Macaca mulatta: one gene and its partner. The protein of the gene in region 1 purifies or fractionates together with the protein of each later gene. This does not show direct contact. Links are inferred from orthologs where the notes say so. Each region holds a gene or a part of one and is shown on either strand. Other genes may lie near its edges.

Evidence for each region. Proteins that work in one complex are often made in the same cells at the same time.
Region 2: the proteins of CRY1 (region 1) and FBXL3 purify together in Homo sapiens (affinity purification with mass spectrometry; 4 studies listed by BioGRID and IntAct, counting the BioPlex papers as one, with this or other methods). This does not show direct contact. The link is inferred for Macaca mulatta from reciprocal best matches to the Homo sapiens genes CRY1 and FBXL3.

What each region holds. Positions count from the first base shown.
Region 1 is NC_133416.1:114,223,528-114,227,180, forward strand, and holds part of CRY1 (cryptochrome-1), read right to left. Parts: intron 495-3,653; coding exon 386-494; intron 1-385.
Region 2 is NC_133422.1:71,811,647-71,815,299, forward strand, and holds part of FBXL3 (F-box/LRR-repeat protein 3), read right to left. Parts: intron 1,659-3,653; coding exon 1,536-1,658; intron 1-1,535. UniProt on the Homo sapiens protein: Substrate-recognition component of the SCF(FBXL3) E3 ubiquitin ligase complex involved in circadian rhythm function. Plays a key role in the maintenance of both the speed and the robustness of the circadian clock oscillation.

The DNA.
Region 1 (3,653 bases):
CAAACACATGGATATGTGTGTGTGTGTGTGTGTGTGTAATATGCACACACACACAAAAATTCTTTTTTTATGCAAAAAATATTTCTAATTGGATACACAATAAACTGGAATTGGATACATAAGAAACTGGTAGTAGTTGTTGCTTCTGGGAGGGGAACTAGCAGTTTAAGGTAGAAGAAAGATTGAACTTTTCATTGTAAACTATTTTCCCACCGTCTGATTTTTACCACGTGTAGCTTTTTCATTAAAGAAAAAAAAACCCACAAAAATTTTACCTGAAAATACTTATATTCTCTACACCTTAAATTAGCCAAAAAACCTTATTTACCAAATATGTAATATTCTCTGAGAAAATATTGTTTTATGCAAATATTTTTCAAATTACCTTGAAAAGCCTGGGAAACACATCTGCTGGTTGTCCACGAATCACAAACAGACGGGAGTTTAATTTTCGTAGATTGGCATCAAGATCCTCAAGACACTGAAGCAAAAATCTAGAGAGAAGAAAATATTATTTAAATTATTAAAAATATATATTTAGAAGACATAAATTATTACAAAATCATGTTATTCTAAAAGTTGAAATGCCAACCTATCATCTTATTACCTCTTATTGATATATAAATTACTTTTTCCAAAAACCATACTAATATATATTTTTTAATTACAGCACAAATTACCTAGTATTTTAATGAAATACTGAATAAAATCACTAATTTTCATTAAATAAAAGTGACTTAGCAAAAATTTAATTTGTGAACATAAAAACATATAAAGAAGTATCAAAGCAATTAAAGAAATTGGTTTCATTATTTAAACTTGATGAAATACTTTCTACACGAAAATGGCTTTTCATATAGAAAGGAAAACTTGAAAAATCTAGAATATCTGCTACTGGGGGGAAAAAACCAGAAACATCCTATATAATGAATAAGCAAGTGAATAAGAATATCATGGTAAAAAGGAATCTGAGGGGACAAAAAAAAAAAAAAGAATATGAGTACTTTTCTGTAATATTGTAATCGTTTAAGAGATTGAAATCATAATGCCCATTTTCAAGTTTCTAATTTATTAAAAAAGAAACTAATAATAAGTAGATGCCAAATTATGTGGTTATTAATTCTCTGAGTGTAGAAAATGCCAGATTAACTTATAAAAATAAGAAAAGGTTTCATGGAGCTGGGGTGGAGATTATAGCTTTTTTCAATGAAGTAAGTAGTAAAAAGGCTTACACATGGCAGACATCTAGGAAAATTCTGGGACAGTACCAGGAGACTGCTTACTTTGCATCTTCTGTTGTGAAGAAATGGAACATTCCCCAAGAGCAAATTTAAAAGAGATATCACCCATGGAAGGTCCAATCTTATTATTTGACTCATACTAATTTTCATCTAGATTCTGTTCTTTTCAGCTGGACATATCTTATTTCCTATTTTGCTTCTTTTATGTTCTTGATCTTAAGGTTAAGTATTTATCTGTCTTTTCCACAGGCCACATGGTCTTTCAGAATAGTGATTATGTCTTACTTGTGAAGAGGAGTGATTAAGAAGCAGGGAAATGCATATTCTAGAAGTGTACTATCTAATATGGTAACCAAAAGCCACATGTAGCCATTTAAATTTAAGTTAGTTAAATTTAAAAATCAGTTCCTTAGTCACACTTGCCACATTTCAAGTCCTCAACAGCCACATGTATCGCTGGTGGCTACCATACTGAACAGTATAGCTACAGAACATTTCCATCATTGCAGAAAGTTCTACTGGACAGATTGTTCTAAAAAGTTGCTCGGTCTAGATCATTTTGTTCTCTTAACCGATTCCGATCCCATCGTTTCACTAAATAAGTCTTGTTGATTTTTTACAACTGTAGTTATTAGTGACATAAATACACTAATCAGGTCTGACACTTCTTCCTCTTTAGGAGCACCATCTTCCTCTTTAGGAGCACAGCTTGAAGAGTCACAGTGCTATATTTTTATGAGGATGTTAAAGACATCCCACCATTTCACCTTAAGAAATCTCATGGGTTTCCAAGTAGGAGGCAATCCTTTCTATCCCCACATTTATATTTTATCACATCCCTTTTCTGCCTTGGTTTGTAGTCACCTCCCCAACACCTGATCCCCATCTTAACCCACCCACTACCAATGTACAAATACTTCAGGGGAGAAGACTGTTGTTGTTAGATGGATAGTGATATAAAAGCATCGGAGTTTAATAAAATTATCTCCAACTATGAATAATTTATCATGTCTGGTAATAAACGTTTGTTGGGAAGCATCTAATTTTATGTATTTGCTTGGCAAGAGGAGTTACTAGACAGAACAAAGATGAAAAAGTTTTTACACGGATCAAAAATTAAGAAGTTGAAAGAACTAGCAATTTTAAGTTTTCTTAAATTGAAACAGTACAAAACTTAAATGTCCTGGAGGGGTAATCTAAGGCAATAATAATCCCCTAATCTCTGTTGCAACATTAGTTTCAAAATCTTCCCCACCAGAAATGAGGAAGAACTGAGAACAGCAAGAGTTCTCCATGTTCAACTTTTTGGTCAAAACGATTCTATGTGGTACAAGAGTTCAATGACAGTAAGATGGGAAAAGAAAATAAACCCAAAGGACATGATTAATTCATAAAATGAAGAATTAAGTATGACTGATAATTAATAACCTTTCCCTTTCTTAATAGGCTGAATAAGCATTCTTAATGCCTTTAATAAACTTTTTTTTTTTTTTTTTGAGACAGGATTGTGCTCTGTTGCTAAGGCTGGAATGCAGTGGTGCAATCATGGGTCACTGCAGCCTTGACTTCTCCCACCTAAGACTCTAGAGCGACTGGGACCACAGACATATGCCACCATGCCCAGCTAATTTTTGTAGTTTTTGTAGAGGTGGGGGTCTCCCCACGTTGTCCAAGCTGGTCTTGAACTCCTGGCCTCAAGTCGTCCTCCCACCTCAGCCTCCCGAAGGGCTGGGATTACAGGCATGAACCATCACAGGCCTGGCCTTAATAAACATTATATGAACCAAACAAATGCACAGAATGATATGGACTAAAGTAATGTGGTGCAATGGGAAAAGTTTTGAAACCTAAGAATTTTGTTTTGGTACTTCAGGAAACAAAGGACTAAAAGCTGTATTGAAGTATGGTGTTCTTCTTCCACAGATATAATTTACATCTCTCATTTCACATAAAAGTTACATAGATTTAAAAAATAGAAGAACTTAAAAAATAATATAGGTACTTTGTAATCAAATATTTTAAGTAGAAAAGATCTGAGAAGAAAAGCAAAAGAGAAGGCTAAAGTAGAACACACTATGATGCTATTCTTTGTTATAAAGCTTTTAAAACTACTTGCATATATTACTTTGATAAAATAAAATTTACATTGCATGTATCTACTTTTGTTTATATGTGCACAAGAAAATAATTGGAAAAATACTTACCAAACTATTAATCATACCTCCCCCTTAGGAAGTGGGGGTTTGAGATAGGAGTGAGAAAGAGAGAAACAAACACATTTTTTTAACTTCATAAAAAAGTTAAAAATTGATAATTAGCATACATTTCTTCAAAGTAGAAGAAAAATGAGATATGCTATATATGTTTCTGGTTTAATATATGGTGAATATCTTTTCGAGGCAATGGACATAC
Region 2 (3,653 bases), on another chromosome or scaffold:
TTGTATTTTAGCTATGGTAGGTACACTAAAAATCAATTCAGATTGTTTCATTTCCCATTTGAAGCTTGAAGGTGGCGCTATACCATGTAACCCGTATTTCTTAGAGTGAGTTTCCTTAACCATCTTAATCAGAATCACCTGGACTGCTCACAGGAAGAGGAGACTTAGAATCACCCCGAATTTGAAAAAGGGATACAAATCCAAAATTTAGGAGGCTATTCAGAAGATTTTTACACATTAAGTCGGAGTACCATGCTGATCTAACTTCTGTACTTAGGATCTTAAAATATTAAGATAATTAGGGCCAGGCGCGGTGGCTCAAGCCTGTAATCCCAGCACTTTGGGAGGCCAAGACGGGCGGATCACGAGGTCAGGAGATCGAGACCATCCTGGCTAACACGGTGGAACCCCGTCTCTACTAAAAAAATACAAAAAACCAGCCGGGCGAGGTGGCGGGCATCTGTAGTCCCAGCTACTCAGGAGGCTGAGGCAGGAGAATGGCATAAACCCGGGAGGCGGAGCTTGCAGTGAGCTGAGATCTGGCCACCGCACTCCAGCCTAGGCAACAGAGCAAGACTCCGTCTCAAAAAAAAAAAAAAAATTAGATTCTCCTGCCCATTTCCCTTATTTTATACATGAAGAAAAACATTTTATCTCAAAATATACATATGTAATGAAAATATTTCAAAATCAATTAAGACTTTGACATCAACTGGTGATTTATTTGGTACAGACATTCTACTGAAACCACCACTTGGGTTATATATTCAATTCAGTTATATTCCCTCCTCAATCATCCCAGTATGTTACCAGGTACCTAAAAGGATGTCCGTATTTTAGTTTTCAGTGTCTTCTGGGGAAAAAACTTATCAATTATTGTTGGAGACTAACCTACTAACCATTAGCTAACATACTCAGACACCTTTACCACCTTTCTAAAAATGTACCCTTATTATTTTTGTATTTTAAGAGAATAGTTGTGAGAGAGACACGATCTCTGATTATGTGCAGGATCACGTTAGAATATATATATGAATATATGTTAACTTTTCCCCCAAATAAAGGATGTCTTTAAGTCTGTAAATTAATCTAAACTGTGCTGATACTAACCTTGGTCAAGATTAAATCTTTACAGAACATTTGCCAAAAGATTTTATAAGTTAGACCTGCTCTCAATACTGGCACTCTCTACTTTTGATTCTAACTTCACCAATCTGCTCTGGAAGCCCCAAAATGAGTATCTATGTGTCCCTTTTTTTCTAATATGGTTGACTCTGTTTTACTTACTGAATTTCTTTGAGTACTTCCTATAGACGCCTGTCTAAATTTCTTTAACCATACCAATTTAGAAGTACGGTGATTTAAAAAAAAAAGCTTAAAAAATACTATTTCTTTTCATTGTAAATAGTAACTGATTTTCCATTATGTATATATATTACTTTCCTTATACTCACACTGTCAATACAAAAAAAAAAAAAGGTTAGACTTTCACCGGATTTCTCAGTAATAGAAAATAAAACAAGAAGACCAGATACCTTTGGTAAATCCATAAAGCTTGGTCGAGCAGTTGAAATAAGTCCAAGTGTTTTTAAAGAGCAATTCACAAGTTGCGATAGTATATCACAAGCTGCTTCAGCTGATTCCTTGCTGCTGTCCACCTAAGAAACACCATTACTCATGTACATTATATTGTCTTTTTACTTTTTTCCCCAAATACCCAGACTTCAAGATTACTCATGTATATATTTATATTTCTCTGTACACATATTCATTTCATAGAAGTATCATTACTAGTTTATTGCATTATAACTTAAAGAACATTCTTTCAATCATCCACCCTCCACCCTCACCTCCAACTTTAACCTTTTCTGAGTCTCTCTGAAAAAGTAGAAGGGCAATTGTCAAGACAAGACCTAGCTTTCATTATAAGAGACATATTTAATGTTGGCTTTTACACTGATTTATTCCAAAGTGACTATATAAACTAATGGAGTAAATCAATTTATAGTCTTTAAAAAATAATTATATATTTGGTAGTGGATCACATAATAGATGTAAATACAGGCTCTATGGTATGCACTAGAAACTGAGTATTTACTCAAAATGTACATGTGTATCACAACCTGGGATTCATCATTAATGTTATCAATGGAAAGATGAATGTGAAGTAAAATGAGTGTACTGGACCAGTCAGGCATGAAAATCTAAACTAAATAAGAGATAGCTATTCTCACACATACTTCTGCAAAGACATTTCCTAAGGGAAGGATAATAGGGCCAAAAAATCCCTCAAGGATGTAAAAAGGAGTTCATCCATCAAAAAGTTAGTTGTTTCCTGGGAAGCACCTTAAAACAATAGTTAAAAGGATATTATTAATTTCCAGATTCAGATACAGTACTTTATCCCAAAAATGTTGAGTGGATGGTAAAACTAATGTGCTAATTATATTAGTTTCAGAGCTACTTATAGATAATACGTGGTCCCTGGACCAGCAGAATCAACATCACCTGGGAACTTGAATGGGAACAAATGTTGATATCTAACCCAGACCATCTGAATCAGAAACTGTTGGGGGGGGCGGGGGGGGTCAAGCCCTCCAGGTGATTTTGATGCACATAAAGTTAGAGAACCTCTCTTCTAGACTAAATATTCTAACTATAAGCCTCCTTGGTCTACAATTGGTGAAGACTATCAGGAGAGCCCAGAAGAATCCTGTGATGTGACTCTTTTTTGTAAATCAGAAATTATTTCCTCAGGAGAAAAAACAAAAAAAAACCCTAATAAAAATGTTAAACTTTTGCACAAATGATTTTATGAGGGTTATACTAGATACACCTGAATTATATCACAGGGCTGTAAAAGAATAAAAATGACCCAACAAATCTACTAGGTGGAACTGGACTTTAAGACCTATCAGAGGAATGTATTATACGCATCTTTGTATGTGATTTACCATTAGAACACTCTTAGACAACTCAAAGATAACTAAAACCAAACAGAAACCTCTTCAGCCTTCTCCCCTGGGGGTATGGGGATGAGTCCTGAATTTTTGTTTGATCCCCCTACCCTTACCCCCAGGTAGGATCGCAAGATAATATACTAGACATCCAATTAAATTTCAGGTAAACAGCAGATTTTTTTTAGTATTAAAGATGTCCCAAACATTAAACGGGATGTAACTATACTAAAAATTATTGATTATCTGAAATTCAAATTTAAATACTCATCTTACATTTTTATTTGTAAAACCTGGCAATCAGTGGCCTAAGTGCCTTTGTGCGTTTTTCTGGGAAAAAAGGTGAAAACATATCCAACCATTCCCATCACCAATTCTCTCCTCCTCCTTGGACACACATGGGAGAATAAGCAGGTAATCTCCATCTAAGAGGAAATCACCTTCTTCAAGGGAAGACAAGATTTTAGTTATGGCCAGAAGCTCTGGGTTAAGAACTATTGTTTTGCCTAGGTTTAGCCTGGACTGTTCAGCAATTGCTACATCCAGGTAAATCAAGTATTCATGCATTGTTTTTTTTCAATAAGTTATTTATCACCACAAAATCTGGTGTTTAAAGATTCAGTAAACATGCCCATATTTCCTTATTCATTACCCAAACAAAACATGACAAGCCTCACACAAACCACTGTAATTTTT